Macaca mulatta: one gene and its partners. The main gene of each other region encodes a partner of the protein of the gene in region 6 in a complex. Links are inferred from orthologs where the notes say so. Each region holds a gene or a part of one and is shown on either strand. Other genes may lie near its edges.

Region 1 (2,941 bases), on a different chromosome or scaffold from region 6:
TGCACAGCTGCAGAATCCAGGACTAGAATGAAGGCCTAGCGTCAAGCCCTGTTTTTCATCATGGGCTCCTCCGTTCACGCTCATTGACACCTTTCCTGGCCATGCTGTTTATCCTTCCATGTCAAGAAAAAACCCTGACAAAGCCTGGTAATATTGACACAAGTGGAGGGTACTTCAGCAGAGAGGGAGTGAAGTTCACTAGGCTGTTGTTCTTCCCCACCCTTTGGCATTCGTGTTGGGTCCTAACACCTTGTGTCTTCCACCTTCAGTGCTGTTCCCTCGTCACACCAATGCCAGCGCTCGAGACAACACCATCAACCTGATCCACACATTCCGGGACTACCTGCACTACCACATCAAGTGCTCTAAGGTGAGGGGGGTGCCAGCATCTCAGCCGCTATGCTCTGGGTCTTTTCCTCCACCAGAACTCATGACAAAAAGTCATTCTGTTAGTCTAGGCTGTGGATATTGACTCTTAGGTAGATAATTCTAGAGGCTTCAAGAAACCATGGTCTTTCTTCATCAAGCCACTGTCCCCCACCCCTCCCCGTAGCAGAGATGAATATTTGTTTCCAGAATTGCTCACCTTCCTGCTTTGCTGCAGGGCCTGGGTCAGTCCCAGGGTGTATGTTCCCAAACGCCTCTGATGAAAGCAAAGCTGTCTTTCTAGACCGTGACTGTGCTTCAGTACCTGTTATGTTTGTTCCCAGGCCTATATTCACACACGTATGCGGGCAAAAACATCTGACTTCCTCAAGGTGCTGAACCGCGCACGCCCAGATGCTGAGAAAAAAGAAATGAAAACAATCACGTAAGTTAGGCAGCACTCCAGCAGGACCACCTTCCTCTCCTGAGTCACCGAGAAGGAAGCAGTGGGTGCTGGTGGCCTGGTCCTCCATGTGTCTGGGCACTGGCTACATGTGAGGCCAGCAGGGCTAAGTAGATAAAACAAAGGTGGGATTCCAGGTTTTCAGTGCTGTATAGGCCCAGATGGGTTTCCTTGTTTCCATATCTTTGTGAACTCTGAGAATGGCAGCTAGGAAATAAACAAAGTTTACCAAGAGACTGTTGTTTTTGGGCCTGAGTTACGAGGTCAGTCTTGTGCTTCTGGTGTTCTTTCTGGAGAGATGGAAGAAGTTGCTTAGGGACCTTTACTTGGGTAAATAGTCCTGACGCCGCCCACTAAGCGTTCTTTCCCTGGTGTACTCTCAGCGGGAAGTTTGCATGCAGAGGAAAGTTCTCTTTATCAAGGATAGAATTGAGGAGAGCCCTGATGGGCACAGTGGCTCACGCCTGTAATTCCAGCACTTTGGGAGGCTGAGGCAGGTGGATCACGAGGTCAGGAGTTCAGGCCTAGCCTGGCCAAGATGGTGAAACCACATCTTTACTAAAAATACAAAAAAAATTAGCCGGTCGTGGTGGCAGGCGCCTGTAATCCCAGCTACTCGGGAGGCTGAGGCAGAGAATTGCTTGAGCCCAGGAGACAGAGGTTGCAATGAGCTGAGATTGTGCCACTGCACGCCAGCCTGAGCAACAGTGAGACTTCGTCTCAAAAAAAAAAAAAAAAAAAAAAAAATTTTTTTTTTTTTTTTTTTTGAGGAGAGCCCTAAATAGGGGTGTGGCTCTGCATGCAGGAAAGACGAGCATGGCCTAGAGCCTAGAGAGTTCCATCTCTGTGAAAGGTGCCAGACCTTGGTTCTTCTGATGAAATTCAGGCAGTCCTGTCCTTAAGATACAGTAATGGTGTTCATCTGCTGTTTTTTTGTTTTGTTCGTTTGTTTGTTCGTTTGTTTGGTGGGGGTAGTTGGGGGAGACAAAGTCTCATTCTGTCGCCCAGGCTGTAGTGTAGTCCAGACCTTGGTTCTACTTCTGATGAAATTCAGGCAGTCCTGTCCTTAAGATACAGTAATGGTGTTCATCTGCTGTTTTTTTGTTTTGTTCGTTTGTTTGTTCGTTTGTTTGGTGGGGGTAGTTGGGGGAGACAAAGTCTCATTCTGTCGCCCAGGCTGTAGTGTAGTCCAGACCTTGGTTCTTCTTCTGATGAAATTCAGGCAATCCTGTCCTTAAGATAAGGTAATAGTGTTCATCTGCTGTTTTTTTGTTTTGTTTGTTGTTTTTTTGGTGGGGGGAGTTGGGGGAGACAGAGTCTCATTCCGTCGCCCAGGCTGGAGTGTAGTGGCGCAATCTCAGCTCACTGTAACCTCCACCTCCCAGGTAGCTGGGACTACAGGTGCACGCCGCCACGCCCGGCTAATTTTTTGTATTTTAGTGGAGATGGGGTTTCACCATGTTGCCTGGGCTGGTCTCAAACTCGTGATCTCAGTCAATCCGCCCACCTCGGCCTCCCATCTGCTGTGTTTTGTACCAGTTGAACTAAAAGTCTTGAGATCATAAGCCTCCCTAACAGCCAGTGTATTTGCCAGCACCCCAGTACTATTGGTGTTTGTTTTGTTGTTTTGTTGTTTTTTGAGATGGAGTTTCGCTCTTGGAGCACAGGCTGGAGTGCAGAGGCACAATCTTAGCTTACTACAACCTCTGCCTCCTGGATTCAAGCAAATTCTCTTGCCTCAGCCTCCACAGCAGCTGGGACTACAGGCTTGCGCCACTAAGCCTGGCTAATTTATTTGTATTTTTAGTAGAGTCAGGGTTTCACCATTTTGGCCAGGCTGGTCTTGAACTCCTGACCTCGTGATCCGCCCACCTCAGCTTCCCAAAGGGTTGGGATTACAAGCGTGAGCCACCGCGCCTAGCCCAGTACTCTGTGATTCCCAGCCTGGAGTGCAGTGGTGCAGTCTTGCCTCACTGCAGGCTCATCCTCCTGGGCTCAAGCAATCCTCCCACCTCAGCCCCCCAAGTAGCTGGGACCACAGGCGTGCACCATCACAGCTGGCTACTTTTTTAATTTTTGTGGAGACAGGATTTCACCATGTTGTCCAGGCTG
Region 2 (3,500 bases), on a different chromosome or scaffold from region 6:
TAGTATATATAATTACAGGTATAGATTTCACTCCTAACATTTTATTAAGCAGTATTAAGAAAACATAGCAATACTGAAATGATTTTACAATGAAACTTGTATATCCATCACCTAGATTCTGACATTAATATATATCATATTGATTTATTACATATCTGTTCATCTATTCATTCATCATTGCATCTTGTTTTTTAATGGATTTCAAAGTAAGTTGCAGATACCAGTATACTTCAACATGTGCATGTTATTAACTAGAATTCACAAATACAGATTTTCTGTTTTGCATATTCCTCATAGAAGAATCTAAACAGTTGGTTGGGCGTGGTGAGTCATGCCTGTAATCCTAGCACTTTGGGAGGCTGAGGTGGGCTGATCTCCTGAGCCCAGGAGTTCAAGACCAGCCTGGGAAACATGGTGAAACCCCTAAAACTACAAGAATTGGCTGGGCATGTAACCTGTAGTCCCAGCTACGTGGGAGGCTGAGGTGGGAGGATCACCTGAGCCTGCGGAAGTTGAGGCTGTGGTGAGCCATAATGGCACCACTGCACTTCAGCTTGGGTGACAGAGTGAGACCCAATCTAAAAAAAAAAGAGTCTAAACATTTAATATTTCAGAACTTTGAGTAATAAGTTAGTAAGTTATGTTAAATTAACTTCATCAGAAATTGCAACAGACATTTTTATTGAACATTTCTAGCATCTGTTTTTAACTTTGTTGTAGTTTTTGATGTTGCTTTTAGTGGATTTTCCAGAGATCTGTTTGTTTTTTTGTTAGAGTCCTCATCTTGGTTTCATCTCTGATTTTTTTTTTTTTTTTTTTTTTTTTTTTTTTTTTTTTTTTTTTTTGAGACGGAGTCTCGCTCTGTCACCCAGGCTGGAGTACAGTGGCCGGATCTCAGCTCACTGCAAGCTCCGCCTCCCGGGTTCACGCCATTCTCCTGCCTCAGCCTCCTGAGTAGCTGGGACTACAGGTGCCCGCCACCTCGCCCGGCTAGTTTTTTGTATTTTTTTAGTAGAGACGGGGTTTCACCGTGTTAGCCAGGATGGTCTCGATCTCTTGACCTCGTGATCCGCCCGTCTTGGCCTCCCAAAGTGCTGGGATTACAGGCTTGAGCCACCGCGCCCTGCCTTTTTTAAAAAAAAAAAAACATGTATTTTTAAGCCTTCATTTTAAAACATCTCATGTTGGCCAGGCGCGGTGACTCATGCCTGTAATCCCAACACTTTGGGAGGCTGAGATGGGTGAATCACTTGAGGTCAGGAGTTTGAGACCAGCCTGGCCAACATGGTGAAACCCCATCTCTACTAAAAATACAAAAATTAGCCAGGCGTGGTGGCAGGTGCCTGTAATCCCAGCTACTCGGGAGGCTGAGGCAGGAGAATCGCTTGGACCTGGGAGGAGGAGGTTGTAGTGAGCTGAGATCACGCCACTGCACTCTAGCCTAGGCAATAGAGCGAGACTCAGTCTCAGAAAAATAATCTTGTGTTAATTTTGCTGCTGCTTTTTTTTTTTGTCTCTCCATAATTAAAACTTAATGTATTGTAGCAAGTATCTGCTTCTGATACTAGTTGTGTTTTATTGAATTTATCAACATATGTAGAAATTAATATTATTTAACATGTTGACTAGCTGTTTTCTAAAAATAAATCTAAATGCTAGGACGTCCTTAGCCTTATTATGTATACAAAATGTGACTTTCAAATGTGGATCATCTTAAGTATGCTCTCATTGGAGACAAGACTTGTGAGTATTATGCTTCATGTGTGATGGTGTAGTTTTCCAATATTGTACTTTAAACTTGAAAGTGTTGCTCAGGAGATGATTTTAAAGGATAGGTTGTTTGCCTATATCTTAATTTTTTTATAACTCTACAGATTTTCATTCACCTTGGTGAGGCATATGTAGAAACAGTTTAAATTCTAATTCAGGCATATGTAGATAGAAGTTTGTGCCATTTATAAGTTCGTTGGTGTATGTATGCATTATTATAGAGTAATAAAGAATCATTTTATTTTTTGCTTCTTTCATTATGCTTTATAGTACTTACATTTATCATTTTGATATTTAGTGCAAAGAATTGTGCTGCATGCATTGAGCATTTTTCTACAAGTTTTTTTCCCCCTGATGTACTATTTCACATATCACAGGCCTTATTTTTTGAACAATTGAGCAAAAGAAACAGATGAAACCTCATACAAAACCCTCCAAAATATGAAAATGTGGGGTTTATTTGTGCTAATGCTCTTCTTTTGGAAACATTTATGTTAAAGGTAAGGTCAATTTATTGATTTAAACCACATTGTACATAAAAATTTATTATCCATGATTAAACTTTCTAAGACATTGTTCTTGATAGAAAAGATTTTCTAACTTGTGGAATAAAAAGCTTTATTTTGCAAGTGCCAGAAAGATTAAAATTAATTATTCCCCAGTTTTCTTAAAATATGCAAATATGCAAAACTTTGATCTACAGCTTTGACATAATTTTCTAGGATCTTATGGTTGGAGATGAGGCAAGTGAATTACGATCAATGTTAGAAGTTAACTACCCTATGGAAAATGGCATAGTACGAAATTGGGATGACATGAAACACCTGTGGGACTACACATTTGGACCAGAGAAACTTAATATAGATACCAGAAATTGTAAAATCTTACTCACAGAACCTCCTATGAACCCAACCAAAAACAGAGAGAAGATTGTAGAGGTGAGTTTTTATGCAGGATATGCATATGTGTATTTCTGTGATATTATGTTAAATAAAAAAAAAGTTTTTTTTTTTACTGTTGCTGTGGATAAAGAGAATAAAAATAATTGTTTTCCTTCAGATCTTACTAAGTATCTACTATATGCTAGTTGTTATTCTAAATAGGAAAGAAGAATAGATCAGTAAACAAAAAATCCTACTGCCATGGAGTGTCTATATTCTAACAGGGAAAAACAGGCCAAAAAAATTTAAGTTTTTAATTTAGTGAGTTAATTTAATTAAGTTTTTATGGAGGAGCCAGCAGAAGGAGATTGAAAAGGCTAATACAATAAGCAGTTACAGAGTTAATTAAATGGTTTGTTAGAAGGTAAGCGATCCAGTTGACCCTTGAGCAATGCAGGGGTTAGGGGCACCAACCCTCCCTACTCTTGTGCAAACTTAACTGCCCCCAAAAATACTTCTAATAGCCTACTGTTGACCAGAAGCCTTACTGATAACATACTATGTATTATATACTATATTCTTATAATAAAGTAAGTTAGAGGAAATGCTATTAAGAAAATCATAAGGAAGAGAAAATACATTTGCTATACCTTAAATGGATGTCGATCATCATAAAGATCTTCATCCTCATTGTCTTCACGCTGACAAAGAAGAGGAGGGGTTGGTCTTGCAGTCTCGGGTGGCAGAGACAGAAGAGGTGGAGGAGGGAAGGGGAGGCAGGAAAGATTTATTGACAAAAATTGTGTATAAGTGGACCTGTGTGGTTCAATCTTCTTGTTATTCAAGGTT
Region 3 (4,180 bases), on a different chromosome or scaffold from region 6:
TTTTTTTTGAGACCGAGTTTTGCTCTTGTCGCTCAGGCTGGAGTGCAATGGCGCGATCTCGGCTCCCTGCAACCTCCACCTCCCAGTTTCAAGCGATTCTCCTGCCTCAGCCTCTCGAGTAGCTGGGATTACAGGCCTGCGCCACCACACCCGGCTAATTTTGTATTTTTAGTAGAGACGGGGTTTCAGCATTTTGCTCAGGTTGATCTTAAACTTCTGACCTCAGGTGATCCGCTCGCCTCGGCTCCCGCAGTGCTGGGATTACAGGCGGAGACTTTTCTTTAGCGCCAGTTTCCCACTATGGGAGTCTGTATCCTGGTTACCACGGAAGATTAGGTTGCATCATAGTCTGGCAATAGTTTTTTGATCTTTAGACACAGTTCAATGAGAAGTATTCGAAGCAGTAAAAATGAATCACATTCCAACTTTTATTAACAAGGGTACTATTAGATGAAAACAGTTTTCATAGTATTATATAAAAGACCCATTTTACTTACCCTAAGGCTAAGATCAATTAACAGAACCCCTGGGGTAACAGCCCAGGCACCAAATCTGACACCTCAGAGTCGTCCTTGACTTCCCTAACCCGCTTTCCCGCATCTCAGATTCTGAGAATTTGGTTTCTATCAAGATGTGCCTCTCAAGCCAGGCCTCTCCTGCCAGGACGGTGGCCACAGGGCCATCTCCCTCTCCTGGGGCCCCAACTGCCTGGTCAAGGTGACTGCTACACACGTGGGGCCGCAAAATCCCTCGAGTCACAATGTCTTCAACGCCTTGTCAGCCCTCTGATCGCACTAAACGTCTTTAAAGCCTCCCACTCCTTTAACAGGGTCACCTCTGTGTAAAGGAGACCTCCTCGTGCTAAGTGTGGCGGCGTTCAAGATTCCAAGACACAGACCCCTCCCGCGTCACTCCCCGGGCACAGGAACTCCTACTCATCCCTCAGTCATCAGCTCGAAGGTTTCTTCTCCAAGAAGCCTGCCCAGCACCCGAGAAGTAGAGCCCCGAGCCTTCTCCCGGGCGCCCAGTCTTCCCCCGTACAGGCAAGGATCACCCCGGAAGCCCGCGCCGGGCCCCGCTGAGGCCAGGGGTTCTTCGGAGGCGCGGGAAAGCCGGATCACCAGCGCGATTACGGCACACACTATGCGGGGCCTGCAAGGATACCGGGCGGCCACTCCTCAGTGGTAAGACAGAGGCTCCGCGGAAGAGAGACTGAGGTCGGAGAGGCCGCGGAAACCCCATAGCGCACTCCACGGGACAGGTTCCGCCCCGCCCCGATGACGCTTCCGGATCCGGCGTGTGCCGGAAGTGGGCGGGCGGCGGCGGCTGCGCGCGGAGGCGGTGGAGGAGGTGCTGGGAGCAGCCCGGTGGCCGCTTCCCGCCCCCGAGCCGGAGCCGGTGCGAGTGGAGCAGAGCTGAGGTCGGGCCGCGAGTGGAGCCGGCTGAGCGGGCGCCGAGCTCCCGCCATGGCCCGGAACACGCTGTCCTCGCGCTTCCGCCGGGTGGACATCGACGAATTTGATGAGAACAAATTTGTGGACGAGCAGGAGGAGGCGGCGGCGGCGGCGGCGGAGCCAGGCCCGGACCCGAGCGAGGTGGACGGGCTCCTGCGGCAATATCCTTTCCTGACGCGGCGTCCGGGCCTGCGCGCGGCCTTCCCACCTTCTCGGGCCCCTTCGGGCGGGCCTCTGCTGTCTCCGACCCCCGGCCCCCTCAGGTCAGCCTTCAACTCCCTGCCGACCTGACTCCCCTGGGCCGTGCTCCCCTGAGTCCTGGTCTCCCTGGGTCCTTCCTCCCCAGCCCTGGCCCCTTCTTGTGCAGCGCAGCCCCGCAGGCCCTTGGACCCGGTGGACGGGCTCCCTCGGTAGCCCCGCAGGTCCCGCGCCCCGGGCTCTCTTCCCCTCTTGCCTCCTCGTCCCCTCACGCTGTCCCTTTCTGGGGGCCCCAGCACTCCGTCCCTCCCTTGCAGGAAATCGGGCCTATGGCGGGGCTGGGTCGGCGGCAGGGCGGAGGTGAGCCGTATCTGAGTAACCGAGTGATCGGTGAGGCTGGGGCGCGGTCTTCCGGGGCCAGATTGCCGCAGGGCGTGAAGATAGGTGGGTGGACCGCTGTGGGGAAGACAGGACCCAGGAGGGAGTGGAGGCGGCCGCCCTATTTCAGCCCTGGGGTCTAAGGTTGTGCCTCCCCTCCCCCAGTCAGTCTAACCCTCCCGCTTAATGCTGAGAAAGGGAAACCCTGTGGTTCCTCTGGTCACCTTGGTGGTCTCAGCTACGCTCAGCAAGTGAGTCTTGGCTCCCCCCAGTACCCTTCTGGTGCAGGAAGCAGCGGAAAGAACTAGTAGTTCAGAGCTAAGAAAAACCAGACACCTTGAAGTGAAGTGTGAAAGTAGAGCCCCACGCCTGGAAATGACTGTTCTTGTGGCCACAGAAAACAGCATTTAGAAAAGATTAAAAATAGAGGTGATTGTCACAGCCTTGCTTGGTCCTTTAGCAGTATGAGCGCAGGAAACTGACTTATTCTCACCGGAAGGATTTTTCTTTATTCAAATGGTGTTCCAGGAAGCCTGTCCCCTCCCCCCGCACGGGCGGGGGCAGGGTTGGAGGCCCATGCTGTACATAAATCAGGTTCTCGGTGTTGAACCAGTTGACTCAGCTTGGAAAGTGGGGCCTGCTGCTTTAGGGGGAGCCCGGCAGTGCTCCTCAGTGTGCCTTTAAAACGAAAACCTTCAGACTTGGTTTGAACAGGAATGTGTTTTCGGAAGTGGAGATTCAAGCTTGTCATTCCTGCCCCATCAGGATCTCCCAGTCCACCCTAGTTATGAAATGGGGTCAAGGGAAGGGTCCCCAGGAGGGAAGGTTGGTTGTAGTCAGGTGCAGGGCCTGGCTTATGGAGAGTCAGTGCTGAAGGGGGCTCCAAGGTCAGGCCTTTGGCCCAGGACCCTCATTGAACAGATGAGGAGGTCAGGCCTGTCAGCTGCTGCCTTGGTCTGGGTGCAGAGCCTTGTTGAAGGTCATGTCTTGGGATTCCCCTGCCTGGTGACAGGTTCCTTGAGGCTGCTTAGAGGCCTGGGTTTAGCACATCCCGGGGATGGTCGTTTCTCCATTCATGGCAGCGGCAGAAACCTTGTTACCATGGAGAGTGTTCCACCTGGGGTTGGGGAAAGGGAGGTTAGCGGATAAAGAGAACTGAAACCCTGGCAAATACCGGACCCAGGTAGGGAGGAGAATGGAACTGATATTTATTGGGTCTCTATCATGTGCCAAGAATTGGACTTAGACCATTGAGGACAGGGGAGCAGGGAGAGGGATAGAGGGATTGGGGTTGGGGAGGGCAGAGAGGAACCCTGTCCTGGGGCTATATAGGGAAGTGTGTGTGGCGGGAGATCACGCAGATGGGGTAGAAGGAACTCGGCTGTGCATCTTCGCACACCGCGCGCCATCATGCTCTGGCTCTGACCTCGGATAGGTCACATACCCTTTCACAACTCAGCATTCTCCTCTGTGACGTGGCAGACAGCCGTGCTGGCTTCCTAGGTTCTGTGGGAGCCTCATGGGCTAACATCAGCATCACGGGGCACACAGCAAGTGTCTGCTCAGGTCTGCAGCTAGAGCGGCAGCACGGGATTGTGGGAGGAGCTTGGGTGCCAGGGCCATCTAGACAGCTTAGTTTTGTGACCCTGTGCAGGTAATTTCCGTTCTCTGAGCCTCAATTCCATTGCCTTTCAAATGAGATAATGATTGTTGTTACTGGGATTTTTGGAATGAGATGGCATGTGAAAGCACCAGGCACAGGATCCGAGACCTTGTGGCGATTTAAAAGTATGAGTTCCTTTCCCCTCAGTGAAGCAGCTTCTAGACTTCTGGATCAGGGCTCTGGCCAGAGCAGTGGTTTTGAGCGATTTTGCACCCCTCCTCTCCACCTCAGGAAATTAGAAACATTTTGATAGTTACAGCTTGGGGATGCCACTGGAATCCAGTGGGCAGAGGCCTATGACCCACAGCTGAGATCCCACGTCAGAGAATCGTGGGTCCACAGTGTCAGTTGTGCCGTGATTGAGGAAGATCTAGAGATCAAGGGCTGGGCAGGGTTCCCCCAGCACCACAGCCTATTCTCTGAAAAGGTCTAAAGCCAGCCAAGTGTGACAGCCGGCTTCATGAATGATAGGTGATTTCAGGGAGGC
Region 4 (4,235 bases), on a different chromosome or scaffold from region 6:
CCACTGGACACTAGGGTTTCAAAGATGAATCTGACAATTCCAGTCCTCGAGGATTTCACTGTCTCATAGGCAGGGCTGACATGATTCTTTACACAAATTTACTGAAGTTCTATGGATGCCAGGTACTGGGGATAGAACAGGGACTCACAGTGCAGGCAGCGCTTTGCTCACGTGGGGCTGTCATGCTGGGCTGTGAGACTGAACCTCGGAGAGAGGATGGAAAGAACAGAAAGCAGAAAAGAAATGGAGAGTGACTATGGGGCTACTTTGGGCTCTTTGTCAAAAAAGACCTTGCCTAAAAGGTGCTATTTGCCCAGTCACCTGAATGCGAAATCAGATGTGGGAACATGGGGCTCTATTCCAGGCTGCGAACTGGCAGAAGAAATGGCTCTCAGGTAGCAATGAACTTGACTTTTAACGTAAGTTTTCTAGTAATAAATAGGTTAAAAACTCCTGGGCTTTCGGTATGCTCCAAGCATGTAAGTTCTAAGCATTTTACATGTAATTCATTTCATCGTCACAAAATTATGAGGTAAATATTGTTACAACCATTTTCAGGTGAGGAACTGAAGTACAGAGGCAAGTTAACTTGCTCAAAATTATAGAGCTAGTATGTATTGAAGCTGCGATTCAGATTCCAGTGCCCTTCAGTTTCTCCATTTTTAGATGCAGTGCATTGGGTTCATTCATTTACTCAAATACTGATGTTTCCTACATACCATCACTGTTACAGGCGCCAGGGGACAAAACGGGCGAAGTGCTGTCTGGCATTTACAAGGATAGGGAGACAAGCACTAAGAGTAAACTAAATACAAGAATCATAAGAACTAAGGGAAAAAGCGGGAGAGAAGGATAAGGCATGGGGCTGGAGTCGGGTGAATTGAAAACAGAATGACCAGAGGCGGCTTCACAGGAAAGGTGTTTTGTTTGTTTGTTTAAGATAGAGTCACACTCTCACCCAGGCTAGAGTGCAGCGGCACGATCTTGGCTCACCGCAAACTCCGCCTCCCAGGTTCAAGCGATTATTCTGCCTCAGCCTCCCGAGTAGCTGGGATGCTACCACGCCCAGCTAAGTTTTGTATTTTTAGTAGAGACGAGATTTCACCATCCAGGCTGGTCTCGGACTCCTGACTTCAGGTAATCCACCCGCCTCGGCCTCCCAAAGTGCTGGGATTACAGGCATGAGCCACTATGCCCGGCCCTGAAAAGGTGAAATTTGAAAAAAACACAAAAGAGGTGATTGATCGAAGATTCTGGAACCTCAAGACCCATCTCCATTCTGCGCGCGCCTCACGCTGCGCCACTCTGAGGGCCCCTACCTAGCGCTCTGGCGCCCCCTTTCAGATCCGCGCGGCCGCTGCAACCAGAGGCGGAACTACAAAGCCGGAAGCTCACGTCATCACCCCGCCCCTTCCGTTTCGCTTCCGCCTACCCCGCCCGGGCTGCAAGACCGGAAGCGCTCTGCTCTACCTGGATTCTGCTCCTCTGGGTTGGAACCCGGGTGCTGCCAAGATGCCGGTGAGGGTTCGATCCATGGTGTGGGGAGACAGCGGGGATTGCGAAAAGCGGGGAGAAACCTTGTGTGTGCCGAGAGAAGCGGGCGGCGGAAGGCAGAGAGGAAGCGGGGGCCCGAGAAGGAGTGAGGCGAGGGGAGGGGACCGGTCGCTGAAGAATTGGGACAGCCCGCGGGTGCCAGTCGTGGGAGGCGGGGGCGCGGCAGGAGTGGGCCCGGGGTCCAGGGGTCCAGGGTGTGTGAGGAGGCCCTCTTCTCTCTCTCTCCGTCTACTCCTTCCGGCTCCGGCAGGGTTCCCAAAGCGTCACTACAGCGCGAAGCCAAGGGTTGCCCTTTTTATTTTTCATATTTCAAGTCCAGGGTCTAGCTTCTCCTTTTTCTGTGAGGCCCACTTCCTCCTCCGCCCCGGGGGGCAGGCTCCCTCTGCTGTTTGTCATTTGTCAGAACCCACTTCCCGGCAGCGGCGGCCACCCCGGAGCCACCTGGGTATAGGGCCCTCACAGACTCGGTCGGCGCCTGACTTCCAAAGATTTCCTTTTTCGTGTGCATCAGAGTGGGAGTAAAAATCTATGACGGTCTGGTTGTACTTAATTTCTGACAGGCAGTCTGTGGGCTAGATTTATCACCATCATGGTCTCCATTTTGCAGATTCGGGAAAAGGTGGTTCGGTTATTGTGTGATTGTTCACACTTTTTTTGTTTTTTGAGAGAGTCTCGTTCTGTCGTCCAGGCTGGAGTGCAGTGAGGCGATCTCGGCTCACTACAACCTCCGCCACCTTGGTTCAAGCAGTCCTCGTGCCTCAGCCTCCTGGGTAGCTGGGATTACAGGCGCGCGCCACCACGCCCAGCTAATTTTTTGCATTTTAGTAGGGACGGGGGTTTCACCATGTTGGCTGGGCTGGGCTGGAACTCCAGACCTCAGGTGATCCGCCCCCTCGGCCTCCCAAAGTGATGGGATTATAGACATGAGCCACCGCGCCCAGCCTGCTCACACATTATTTTTAACAAACGTTACCGAGCACCTACTGCCTGCCAGGCTCTATTTACAGCAGCAAATAAGTTCAACAAATCCCTAATCTTAAACAGTGTACGTTCAAATCGGGAGACGAGACAATAAAAGTGTAAACATAAAGGAGATACATACAGTAGTGTCAGGTAGTGACAAATGCTATAAAGAAGCTAGATGGATGGCCAGGCGCGGTGGCTCACGCCTGTAATCCCAGCACTTTGGGAGGCCTAGGCGGATGGATCACGAGGTCAGGAGTTCAAGACCAGCCTGGCCAACATGGTGAAACTCCATCTCTACTAAAAATAAAAAAATTAGCTGGGCGTAGTGGCGCGTGCCTGTAATCCCAGCTACTTGGGAGGCTGAGGCAGGAGAATCGCTTGAACCCAGGAGGTGGAGGTTGCAGTGAGCCAAGACTGTGCCACTGCACTCCAGCCTGGCCACAGAGTGAGACTCTGACCCCCCCACTCCAAAAAAAAGAAACTAGATAGGTAACAAGACAGTTTGGTGAAAGGGAAGGCAGAGGGTGCTTTACATAAAGTATACTTGTGATGAAAAGGAGCAAGCCATAGTTGCAAATACATATATATATAGATATATATAGATAGATTTTTTTTTTTTTTTTTTTTTGAGACAGGGTTACACCCCGTCTCTGAGACTGCAGTGCAGTGACACAAACTTGGCTCAGGTGATCCTCCCACCTCAGCCTCCTGAGCAGCTGAGACTACAGGTGTACATCACCACGCCCAGCTAAGTTTTTCTATTTTCAGTAGAGACAGGGTCTCACCATGTTGCCCAGGCTGGTCTCAAACTTCTGGGCTCAAGCAGTCCTCCTGCCTCGACCTCCCTGAGTGTTGGGATTACAGGCGTGAGCCACCTCATTCAGCCTCACAAATACATATTTTATGAATTCCGTAATTACCATTTGACTCCTGAGCTCTGGGGTACACACTTTATAAATTATCCCATCTAATCCTCATAATGACCCTGTGAAGTAGGTACCATGATTCCTATTTTACAGAAGAGGAAACGGAACCTCAGAGAAGTTAATTTGGACAAAGTTGCCTACTAATGGTAAAACCAGATTTTAAGCCAGGACTCTAGGCTGGGTACAGTGGCTTATGCCTGTAATCCCAACACTTTAGGAGGCCAAGATGGGAGGATCACTTGAGCCCAGGAGTTTGAGACCAACCTGGGCAACATAATGAGACCCTGCCTCTACAAAAATAAGAATAAATTAACTGGATGTGGTAGTGCATCTCCTCCCAGCCTCTCAAGAGGCTGAGGTGGGAGGATCACCTGGAGCCAGGAGTTTGAGGCTGCAGTGAGCTGTGATCATGCCACTGTACTCCAGCCTGGGTGAGAGGAGACTCTGTCTCCAAAAAAAAAGGACTCTAAAGCCCTGTACTGGCTCCAGTTGCACATAGAGCACCCTGGATTCACCCTGGGTTGGTTGGTTGGTTGGTTTGTTTGAGATGGAGTCTCGCTCTGTACCAGGCTGAAGTGCAGTGGTGCGATCTCGGCTCACTGCAACCTCTGCCTCCTGTGTTCAGGTAATTCTCGTGCCTCAGCCTCCCAAGTAGCTGGGAATACAGGCATGTGCTACCACACCCGGCTAATTTTTGTATTTTTAGTAGAGATGGGGTTTCACCATGTTGGTCTGGATGGTCTCTATCTTTTGGCCTTGTGATCTGTCAGCCTCGGCCTCCCAAAGTGT
Region 5 (3,500 bases), on a different chromosome or scaffold from region 6:
AAAAATAGCCCTGTAATGTAGTTATGATAATGCTGCATGGTAAGATGCAGTGAATTCAAATAGTGAAATCATTTGTGTGTGTTTTTAGAGGAGACCACTCAGGCTGAATTTGAACAAAGGTTTGAAAAATAAGTTAAACCTTTACAAAAATAAACAGATTGTAATTGCTTTTTAAAGATTTTTTAAAACTGTACAAATACTAAATATTTATTATAGAAAGCTCAGACATATGGGAAGGTTAAAAAGATAGTCATTTATAGTCCCACTACCCAGAGATAACAGTTACTACTTTGGGGCCTTGCTATATTGTTAGAGTTCCCTTTTGTTTTTTAAGAATGAAATTTTATAACCTGCTTTTTCGGCTGTATGCAATGTACAAGAGATTTCCTTCGTAATAAGTTTATTTCTATAGCATTTTTAACAGTTGTATATGGATAAGCTGCAGTGTATACATAACTAATCTTTTGTTATATATTTAGACTGACTTTTCCTATTGTGAACCACTGAAATGAATATTTTTTGGTAAATTTTTAATTGTTCTCTTTGAATAAATTGCTAGCAGTGAATTACTGGATCAAAGAACGCACTTTTTTAAGGCTTTTGGTACATGTAGTATTGCCAAATTGCCCTTCAGAATGGTTGTGCAACTTACATTCTCTGCAGTCTTTTAGTAGTTCTTAGCCTATTTAAGTATTTATTTAAAATGATGCCCATAGCATCAACCTCATTGTCCATAACTATTCGTACATCCTAGGAGCTTCAAGAATCTCAATTGAGTAGTAGTAAGTAATAACTTAGGTAAATGTGTAATAATTATCTAGGTAACATAATTTTTTATCGGGGAAAAATTGCTTTGGTTTTTACAAGTTGTAAAGAATGTCGTTGAAATTTCATTTTTACCCTGGATGCAAAGATATGTTTTCTAAATCTGGTGATTGCATAGTCTTTAAACCAAAGATAACAATAGGTAGTAGAAACATTGTGTGAAATCCTGACCAGTAGGAATGCTGGAGGTAGCCCTTTGTGTTGAATGGAAGAAGAAACGAATTGTTGAAAAGGTCAGTTAAGTGTTCCCTTTGCTTGCTTGAATGGGTAAGAAAATAACTGCTTTTGAAGCAGGCTTTTGCTAAAGAAAAAAGATCATTATTAATGAACATCACTATATTTCGTATCTACAGTCAATTCATATAAATTACAATTTTCTTTTAAGACAGCTTTGTTTAAAAATTTTAAAAGAAAGTTTTTAAGAAAAAATTACTTCTGAAGAATAATTCAAGGTAGAAATGCAAATCTGCTTCCTTGTTTTGTGGGGTTTCTTTTTTTTTTTTTTTTTTTTTGAGACGGAGTCTCACTCTGTTGCCCAGGTTGGAGTGCAATGGCGCAATCTCTGCTCACTGCACTCTCCGCCTCCCGGATTTAAGCGATCCTCATGCCTCAGCCTCCCGAGTAGCTGGGATCACAGGCACCTGCCACTATGCCCGGATAATTTCTGTATTTTTAGCAGAAACAGGATTTTACCATTTTGGCCAGGCTGGTCTTGAACTCCTGACGTCAGGTGATCTGCCCATCTCGGCCTCTCGATGTGCTGGGATTACAGCTGTGAGCCACCACACCCGGCTGTTTTGTTGGAATTTTGTTTTTAAGATCAAGACATAAAATTTAAATGTTGTTTTAATAAATTGTTAAATTATCACATTGATCTGTTAGCAAATCCTCTTGGCTCTGCCTTCAATTATGTCAATAGTCTGTCTAGTTTTTAACCACTTCCACTGCTACTGTGCTCACCACATCCGGCCTGTATTACTGCAATTACCTCCTAATTGCTCTCCCTGCTTCTGCCTTATCCCCTACCCCCACTGCTTATTCTCTGTAACGTAGATGCCAAAGCGATCCTGTTAAAATGTGAGTCAGATTATGGCACTGCTCTTAAAACCTTCCAATGTCTTCTTATTTCTCTCAGTAAAAGCCAAACTCCTTACAATGCCTGGAGGCCTTACACGATCTGTCCTCCCATAACCTCTGACTTGCTCACCTGCTTTTCTCCCACCAGTCCACTCCAACCACATTGGGTTTTTTTCCTATTCCTAGAACACACTGAACACACACTAATAGTGTGTTCTTTCCTCTGTCTGAAACACTTTCCTCAGTTATCCCAGGCCTTCCTCTTTCACGTCCTTCAGGTCCTTACTCAAATGTCACCTTCTTAGTGTGGCCTTTCTGAAATTCTAAACCATCCTCATACAGATACGTCTAAATGTTCTGTTATTTATTTACTCACCAGGACCGGGCAGGCAGCATTGTCTTGAAGGTGCTCATCTCTTTTAAAGCTAATGATATTGAAAAGGCAGTTCAATCTCTGGACAAGAATGGTGTGGATCTCCTAATGAAGTATATTTATAAAGGATTTGAGAGCCCCTCTGACAATAGCAGTGCTGTGTTACTGCAATGGCATGAAAAGGTAAATTATGAATTATAAATCTACATAACTGGTTCTTTTACAATAGGGGATGACAGTGACGACCTCTCTCACCTGAATAACCATTTTGACTTGGTTGTACATTTTTTTATTACAAATAAAATGCATGAAAATGATAGTTCATATTTATGTTTACTAGCCTTGGTCTTAAGAGATTCTAATTCCAACACTTGTGTTTATTCAGCAACGATTATTAGTAATTAAACATAATCTTGAACTCTAAATTAAATCAAAACTTTGTAAAAGAAAATAAGCAGTATAAATCAAGAATTCTTTCACAGTGACCAAAGGGTGAAAACAACACAAGGATCATCAACAGATGAACAGGTAAATTGTAGTACATACATACAATGGAATATGATTCAACCATAAAAAGGAATGACATTCTGACACATACTATAACATGAGTAAACCTTGAAAACATACCAAGTGAAATAAGCCAAATACAAAAGAACTAATATTTTATAATTTTACTTATATAAAATAATCTAAGATAGGCAAAGACAAAGGGACAGAAAGTCCTTAGAGGTTACCAGGAAGTAGGAAAAGTAAGGAATAGGGAGTTAGTGCTTAATGGGTACAGAGTTCCTGCTTGGAGTGGTAAAAAAGTTATGGAAACAGATAGTGGTGATGGCTACAATACATTGTAAATGTAATTAATGCCAATGGATTTTACGCTTAAAGATGGTTAAAATGGCAAATTTTGTGTTAGATATTTTACAACTTTTTTTTAAAGAATTAGGGGTTTGGAGGATCAAGAATTCTTAAATCATTTTTTTCTATTTTCATGCATATATTTTGCAATGTAAGTAGATGCTGGTACATCATCTGTCAAAAGAGTACAAGGGATTTTGAGCTTTGGGTAAAAAACTGGATAACATGTAAATAGAACCAGCCATAAAAATATTAAGTGTTTGAAGTGTATCCGAATGAAAACACACACATAAGAGAAAAGTACATAGTAAACTTGTTGTTTAGCCTTGGTCAAGTCACTTTATCCCTCATACACTATCAAAAAGAACTA
Region 6 (3,500 bases):
TTTTTTTTTTTTTTTCCTGAGATGAGTCTTACCGTGTCACCGAGCCTCCTGAGTAGTGCGTATTACAGGCAGGTGCCACGACACCTGGCTAATTTTTTTTTTTTTTTTTTTTTTTTGAGATGGAGTCTGCTTTGTGGCCCAGGCTGGAGTGCAGTGGTGCGATCTTGGCTTACTGCAAGCCCCGCCTCCCGAGTTCACACCATTCTCCTGCCTCAGCCTCCCGAGTAGCTGGGACTACAGGTGCCCGCCACCACACCCGGCTAATTTTTTGTATTTTTAGTAAAGACAGGGTTTCACCATGTTGGCCAGGCTGGTCTTGAACTCCTGGCTGCAAGTGATCCACCCACCTCGATCTCCCAAGGTGCTGGGATTACAAACATGAGCCACCAGGCCTGGCCTGGATGACTTCATCTTCATCCCATCCTTAATGGGGCAGGGAAGTTGGGGGGGGTCCATCCTGTGAGGAAACTGAGGCACAGGTGACAAGTGAGGGGCCTGTCCGGCTTGGAGTCCTAGCACCCCACCCCGCCCCAGGGAGCATCTCCCCTGTAGTACTATCTCCTCCACTCTGTCTCTGGAGCCTCAGAGATATCCCGTGAAAGCTGCCCTTTTATAAGGAGGGAAACTGAGGCCCCAGGAGGGGAAGCAACATGTCAGGCCAGTTAGGAGCCAGGGCTGGCCCCTGCTGCTCGTCTCTGCAAACAGCTGCCTCTCTAGACTGAGGGGCCTCCCTGGTGTGAGGCCCTTGAGGATCAGCTGGGGCCTGGTATCCGGGTAAAGTCAGGGGCAAGGTCAGGGCTGACGTGGATTCTCTCTTCCTTTCTTGGGCACAGGAGCCAAGCCGCCATGGCCTACCACAGCTTCCTGGTGGAGCCCATCAGCTGCCACGCCTGGAACAAGGACCGCAGCCGTGAGTGCTTGCTGGGGGTCGGTGGGTGGCTGCTTCTACCTCCTGGGATGGGGAGACTGGAGCAGCCAGGCCCCCGGACCATAGGCTCCATGCGGCTGTCCCCGGGCCTCACCCCTGGGTCTTCCAGCTGACCAGGGGTCTCCTGGGTTAAAGTTTAAGGAGGGAATGGGCCAGGTGCAGTGGCTCACGCCTGTAATCCCAGCACTTTGGGAGGCTGAGGTGGGTGGATCACTTGAGGTCAGGAGTTCCAGACCAGCCTGGCCAACATGGTGAAACCTTGTCTCTACTAAAAATGCAAAAATTAGCTGGGCGTGGAGGCATGCGCCCGTAAACCCAGCTACTGGGGAGGCTGAGGCAGGAGAATCACTTGAACCCGGGAGGCGGAGGTCGCAGTGAGCCGAGATTGCACCACTGCACTCCAGCCTGGGTGACAAAGCAAGACTCTGTCTCAAAAAAAAAAAAAAAAAAAGAAAGAAAAAGTGGCCAGGAAAAGCCTTTTGGAGGAGATGACATTTTGACATTTACACAGACACCCAGAGGAGGAGAGGGAGGGAACTCTGCCCCAGCTGGGGAGGGGCTGGCAGGTGCAGGGGCCCTGAGGTGTCAGCAGGAGCAGCGAGGGGACCCTGGCTGGCCAGAGCGATAGGGTGGGGAGAGGTCCCAGGGGTCATTGCTGCGAGTAAAGGACAGTCAGTCCCAGGAGAAGAGAGGGTGAACTGGCAGGGCCTGAAGGACTTCAGGGGGCCCCCTCCAAGGCAGAGGAGGAGAGCCTGAGTCATGAAGGATGAGGCTGTTGCCCAGGTGCACTGTGTAGTGTGTCCTGGCAGAGGGCAGTCATGGAGAGGGCCCCTCAGTCTCCCTCCATCTCCCCTGCAGAGATTGCCATCTGCCCCAACAACCATGAGGTGCACATCTACGAAAAGAGCGGTGCCAAATGGACCAAGGTGCACGAGCTCAAGGAACACAACGGGCAGGTGACAGGTATGTCAGGGTGGCTGGGACTACCCTCCTGAAAGGAGGTGGGGGGTGGGGTGCAAGGCAGGACATGGCCACTCATTATGGGGCATCTACCCACTCACTGTGAAACCCTGATTCAAACTGGCTTCAATTTTAAGGGGACTGTGTTGCCTCATGTTACCAAAAAACCCAAGAGGGTTGAGGGCTTCAGGAGAGGCTTGATCCAGCAGCTCCACATGACCAAGAACCCATCTTTTCTGCCTCTTGGCTTTGCCCTCCAGCATGTTTACTGATAGCATGGAGGGCTCTGACACTCCCTCATAAGCTCTAGGAGTGCCCCCTGGTGTCACTCTAAATAAGCACTGGATCTCAGTAAAAAGTGCTTGCTGGGCCGGGTGTGGTGGCTCATGCCTGTAATCCCAGCACTTTGGGAAGCCAAGGAGAGTGGATCGCTTGAGTTCAGGAGTTCGAGACCATCCTGGCCAACATGACAAAATGTTGAAAAATACAAAAGTTAGCCTGGTGTGGTGGCACACACCTGTAGTCCCAGATACTCCAGAGGCTGAGGCAGGAGAATCGCTTGAACCCAGGAGGCAGAGGTTGAAGTCAGCTGAGTTCACACCACTGCACTCCATCCTGGGCGACACAGCAAAACTGTGTCTCAATAAAAACAAAGAAAGAAAGAAAGAAAGAGGCTGGGTGCGGAGGCTCACACCTGTAATCCCAGCACTTTGTGAGGCTGAGGCAGGCGGATCACCTGAGGTCAGGAGTTCAAGACCAGCCTGGTCAACATGGTGAAACCCCATCTCTACTAAAATACAAAAATTAGCCAGACATGATGGTGGGTGCCTGTAATCCCAGCTACTTGGGCGGCTGAGATGTGAGAATCGCTTGAACCCGGGAGATGGTGGTTGCAGTAAGCTGAGATCACGCCACTGCACGCCAGCCTGGGCGGCTGAATGAGACGCCATGTCAAAAAAAAAGAGAAAGATTGGTGGTACACACCTGTAGTCCCAGCTACTCAGGAGGCTGAGGCACAAGGATTGCTTGAACCTGGGAGGCAGAGGTTGCAATGAGCCGAGCTCATGCCACTGCATTCCAGCCTGGGTGACAGAGTGAGACTCCATTTCAAAGAGAAAAAAAAAAAGTGCCTACTGGGCAGATAAAGCTTCCACCTTGATTGTGGCCTTTCAGCCTCTCCTGTGTGGCCACCATAGAGCCACCCCTGCCTGAGTGTCGTCAGCCTCCTGTGTCCCCTCCATCCCCCCACAGGCATCGACTGGGCCCCCGAGAGTAACCGTATTGTGACCTGCGGCACAGACCGCAATGCCTACGTGTGGACGCTGAAGGGCCGCACGTGGAAGCCCACTCTGGTCATCCTGCGGATCAACCGGGCCGCCCGCTGCGTGCGCTGGGCCCCCAATGAGAACAAGTTTGCTGTGGGCAGCGGCTCCCGTGTCATCTCCATCTGTTATTTCGAGCAGGAGAACGACTGGTGGGTACCTGGGCGGGGCTGGAGTGGGCTGGTAGGGACCTGGGGGCAGGACTAGAGTTTCCCCGGGAAGCACCAAATGGGATGTCGGGACCCCTGTTCCCATGACCCCTGGGGAGTCCATCCTCTCCTCTCTGGGCC
Region 7 (3,500 bases), on a different chromosome or scaffold from region 6:
AATTTGGCCTACAAACTTTAGCCACTTTTGCCTTTCTGACCTTTAAATTCTATATCCCTAACTTAATGAGACCAGTTCTGTTTTAGTTCTCTTTCTCGTTGTTGTGGCCTAGTAACTTTCCCTAGGCAGTAGGATAGAGTGTTTGTAACATTCACTTTATTTGTTTCCCTTTTCTTAGAAAGTATCTCTGCCCTACTCTGCCAATTGTCAAATGTCTGAAAACCTTTATTTCTTATAAAGTGTCCTTTATTTAAGTTGAGAGGGTGAGTTCAGTCCCTAATATTCTGTCATGGCCGCTGAAGGCATCCTTAATATTCTTTCCTAATGAAATTTAATTTTGCCACACTATTTGTTATACTTCTGACACATCAGTGAATTTGTGAATCAGTTCTACAGAATTTAGTTATTTGACATTATGGTGGTGTGTGGAAAGCTTCAGGTTTGTGAAATGGATACATACTTCATTAGAAAAATGATAGGCACTTTGTCAAATTTCTTATGACACATTCTAAATTATAATTACTGAAATTATAAATGATTTTAAAATAGTACTATCTGATATAAAGTCTGCTATCTAAACCATTTGATATTTCTATTTTGAAATTTACTGTTTCTGTGTTGTTATTTTAGTCATAGTTATAAATTGTCAATGGGAAAATAAATCTCAAGTTGCTGGCCATTCTTAGTTATTGTTTCTGATGAATAAAGGTGAATTCTGGGATAAAACAGTACTTGAGAATATGAATACACTAACTTGATAAATTGGTCTTTAATGGTTCATATTTTTAGGTTATATTAATTTTCAAAGCATTGAAAGTAAATTTGAAATCTTTTTCCCCCCTCTAGGCTGAAGGGTATGTGATTGGCAGCTGTATTAAACACATTCCAATCGCAGGACGAGATATAACATATTTTATTCAGCAACTGCTGAGAGACCGAGAAGTAGGAATCCCTCCAGAACAATCCTTGGAAACTGCTAAGGCAGTAAAGGTAAAAAGTGAGATAGAAGTGTAATTTAGTTAAAAATTAAAATCACATTTATAACATTAACATGAGAAATTTTTAATTGAAGAACAGTACTTAAAATAATCTTGTTAACCAGTTATAAATTATTACTCTTAAGTATATTTACATTTTCTCTGTATTTCTTGCAAGAAAATTATTATTACAAGTTTGTCTATTTTCTTCATATTTTATATTTGAGAGGAGTAATATATAAGAACATTTTACCAAATGACCTCTCCATAAATTTTTGTGATTCTCTTTATTAAAAATAATTATTTCACTGTAAAGTGCTTGCATCTCAATTTCTTCACTGAATTCTTTATTTTAATTTTAAAAGCTTTTGTCATAAAAATTATTTTGATATAATTGATTCATTGTGCTATAGTATAGAGGCAGTGTTAACTCAAGTGATAGGGCACATAGAAAAACATTAAGGCTATCTAAAGTATTTTTTAAATTTTTTCTGCCATGTAAGTATTATATCAATGCTTCATGCAAACTATCAAAATACTTTAACATCATCTTTCAAACTTACTATTTGCCACATAACCAAAAAATTTCAGTGGGTCTCACATGTTTTGAAAAGTAAAACTGCCCTGGCAAAAGTAACTTTTACTTATTTGTCTCTCTTTGCATGGTTTTTTTTTTCACTTATACATTTTTAAATTTTTTATTTCTTATTTTTATTGATTTATTTTTTATAGAGATGGGATCTTGTTCTGCTATCCAAGCTAGAGTGCAGTGGCACAATCATGGCTCACTGCAGCCTCAAACTTCTGGGCTCACGTGATCCTCCTGCCTCAGCCTCCTGAGTAGCTAGAACTGCAGGTGCATATCACCATGTCTGGCTAAGTTTTTGTAGAGATGGAGGTCTTGTTATGTTGCCCAGGCTGTTCGTGAACTCCTGACCTTAAGCAATCCTCCTGCCTCAGAATCTCAAAGTGCTGGCTGTGAGCCACCATGCCTGGGCCTCTTTGCATGTTTATGGGATTTTCCTTGCTCGTCAGAGCTTAAGAATGAAAATTTATCAACTACTTCCTAGGTAGTAAATTAGTAAAGGACTGCCAAAAGTTACCCCAAGTTGGTGGCATAAGAATTAAATATATAAAAAGTTAATGTGAATACTACTGATTCAACATCTTTGGGAAATCTGTAAAATTAAAGCAAAATGAGAAAACACCAGAGATTTAAATCTATTCCAGAGAAGATTGATGGTCAGTCTGAATGTCTTTAAAGGAGTATCATTTCTTGTCATTCCCACTTCTAAGGTTTGGAGAAGACCTCAAATAGTGAATCAAATGTCTTTCGTTTCCAGTATTTTTTCTCTTTGTGTATTTTGATTATTACTAGTAATATTTGCAACTATCTCGGATGGAGCCTGTGATGTATAAAAATACTGGAAAAGGAAGGCTTTTTAAAAATATATATATATAGGCTGGCAGTTGGGAGTTTATAAATTACAAATATGATGTTATAATCTATAATATATTTTTCAATGTTTTTGATAAAACTTTTACTTAGGTGTCATATAACCAAATATGCAACAAAATGGAGTAATTTATATTTTTAGCGTTCTTTCTTTGCTCATTTATTTACTCAGACTGTAATCAGTTTTGTTTCAGATATTAAGGATCTAATTAATTTGTGTGGTTATCATAATTATTACTTATTCCTCAGTTCTATATTTTATTTATTCTCCTTACGTAGAGCACGAGATTCATTATTACTGAGACAGAAAATGTTGAATGACATTAATGAACATTTTCAGGAAATAACACTGAAGTAGTAGAAATCAGCTCTCCAATCTCTCAAATATTATTTATATTTAAAGTCAGAAAATATGTGTAGGAGATGAGTATGTTTATTTGTACTACACATATGATAACATCCTAACATAAATTTTACTCCCAGCTTAATTTCCTAATTTTATTTTCTGAAGAAGTTTTTTTTTTTTTATTTGATTCTAGTTTACTGAAAACATGCCATTCTTTTTTACTGTTCCTGTAATAGGCAAAAAAAGTTACTTTTGTTTATTTGTTTTTCAGGAGCGTTATAGTTATGTCTGCCCAGATTTAGTAAAAGAATTTAACAAGTATGATACAGATGGGTCAAAATGGATTAAACAGTATACTGGAATCAATGCTATCTCAAAGAAAGAATTTTCTATCGATGTTGGTTATGAGAGATTTTTGGGACCTGAAATATTTTTTCATCCAGAGGTAAGTTTTTTTTAACGGAATTGTTTAAAAATATTCAGCAGCAAATATCAATTAATGGATATTCAGAGAGAATTGATCTCAAAAACTTTTATTAGTATACTAAAAACCGTTTGAATTTTTATGAAAAGTTTTATTTAAAAGTTTTATGAAATTTTTAAAGAAAAAATTTGCTTTTCTTTAAACAAGTGAAATTGTTGCTATTTTTTGTAGATTTAGAAAAAGCTTTTTTTTTTTTTTTTAAATATGGGGGCTTATGTGGGGGGGTCATGGGAAGAG

The links.
Region 1: ARPC1B (region 6) and ARPC2 share a complex: the UniProt entries of both Homo sapiens proteins name them as parts of the arp2/3 complex. The link is inferred for Macaca mulatta from reciprocal best matches to the Homo sapiens genes ARPC1B and ARPC2.
Region 2: ARPC1B (region 6) and ACTR2 share a complex: the UniProt entries of both Homo sapiens proteins name them as parts of the arp2/3 complex. The link is inferred for Macaca mulatta from reciprocal best matches to the Homo sapiens genes ARPC1B and ACTR2.
Region 3: the proteins of ARPC1B (region 6) and ARPC5L are in contact, whole or in part, in a cryo-EM structure (PDB 6YW6), measured with the Homo sapiens proteins. The link is inferred for Macaca mulatta from reciprocal best matches to the Homo sapiens genes ARPC1B and ARPC5L. Residues at the interface, in NP_005711.1 of Homo sapiens: Arg118, Lys138, Arg142, Phe164, Ser201, Gly203, Trp204, His222, Asp223, Ser224, Thr225, Leu240, Ala241, Ser242, Glu243, Thr244, Leu245, Pro246, Phe281; in NP_112240.1 of Homo sapiens: Asn21, Lys22, Arg102, Gly139, Leu140, Gly141, Ile144, Arg145, Thr148, Arg150, Lys151.
Region 4: ARPC1B (region 6) and ARPC3 share a complex: the UniProt entries of both Homo sapiens proteins name them as parts of the arp2/3 complex. The link is inferred for Macaca mulatta from reciprocal best matches to the Homo sapiens genes ARPC1B and ARPC3.
Region 5: ARPC1B (region 6) and ARPC5 share a complex: the UniProt entries of both Homo sapiens proteins name them as parts of the arp2/3 complex. The link is inferred for Macaca mulatta from reciprocal best matches to the Homo sapiens genes ARPC1B and ARPC5.
Region 7: ARPC1B (region 6) and ACTR3 share a complex: the UniProt entries of both Homo sapiens proteins name them as parts of the arp2/3 complex. The link is inferred for Macaca mulatta from reciprocal best matches to the Homo sapiens genes ARPC1B and ACTR3.

The regions. Positions count from the first base shown.
Region 1 is NC_133417.1:123,461,737-123,464,677, forward strand, and holds part of ARPC2 (actin-related protein 2/3 complex subunit 2), read left to right. Parts: intron 1-269; coding exon 270-370; intron 371-710; coding exon 711-811; intron 812-2,941. UniProt on the Homo sapiens protein: Actin-binding component of the Arp2/3 complex, a multiprotein complex that mediates actin polymerization upon stimulation by nucleation-promoting factor (NPF).
Region 2 is NC_133418.1:59,453,955-59,457,454, reverse strand, and holds part of ACTR2 (actin-related protein 2), read left to right. Parts: intron 1-2,492; coding exon 2,493-2,708; intron 2,709-3,500. UniProt on the Homo sapiens protein: ATP-binding component of the Arp2/3 complex, a multiprotein complex that mediates actin polymerization upon stimulation by nucleation-promoting factor (NPF).
Region 3 is NC_133420.1:22,905,296-22,909,475, reverse strand, and holds the start of ARPC5L (actin-related protein 2/3 complex subunit 5-like protein), read left to right. Parts: upstream 1-1,380; 5' UTR 1,381-1,466; coding exon 1,467-1,616; intron 1,617-4,180. UniProt on the Homo sapiens protein: May function as component of the Arp2/3 complex which is involved in regulation of actin polymerization and together with an activating nucleation-promoting factor (NPF) mediates the formation of branched actin networks.
Region 4 is NC_133416.1:117,616,724-117,620,958, reverse strand, and holds the start of ARPC3 (actin-related protein 2/3 complex subunit 3), read left to right. Parts: upstream 1-1,435; 5' UTR 1,436-1,512; coding exon 1,513-1,518; intron 1,519-4,235. UniProt on the Homo sapiens protein: Component of the Arp2/3 complex, a multiprotein complex that mediates actin polymerization upon stimulation by nucleation-promoting factor (NPF).
Region 5 is NC_133406.1:41,104,621-41,108,120, reverse strand, and holds part of ARPC5 (actin-related protein 2/3 complex subunit 5), read left to right. Parts: intron 1-2,281; coding exon 2,282-2,458; intron 2,459-3,500. UniProt on the Homo sapiens protein: Component of the Arp2/3 complex, a multiprotein complex that mediates actin polymerization upon stimulation by nucleation-promoting factor (NPF).
Region 6 is NC_133408.1:46,617,962-46,621,461, forward strand, and holds part of ARPC1B (actin-related protein 2/3 complex subunit 1B), read left to right. Parts: intron 1-833; 5' UTR 834-846; coding exon 847-910; exon of another isoform or gene 911-935; intron 936-1,737; exon of another isoform or gene 1,738-1,746; coding exon of another isoform or gene 1,747-1,786; coding exon 1,787-1,891; intron 1,892-3,139; coding exon 3,140-3,362; intron 3,363-3,500. UniProt on the Homo sapiens protein: Component of the Arp2/3 complex, a multiprotein complex that mediates actin polymerization upon stimulation by nucleation-promoting factor (NPF).
Region 7 is NC_133417.1:23,658,994-23,662,493, reverse strand, and holds part of ACTR3 (actin-related protein 3), read left to right. Parts: intron 1-846; coding exon 847-990; intron 991-3,050; coding exon 3,051-3,224; intron 3,225-3,500. UniProt on the Homo sapiens protein: ATP-binding component of the Arp2/3 complex, a multiprotein complex that mediates actin polymerization upon stimulation by nucleation-promoting factor (NPF).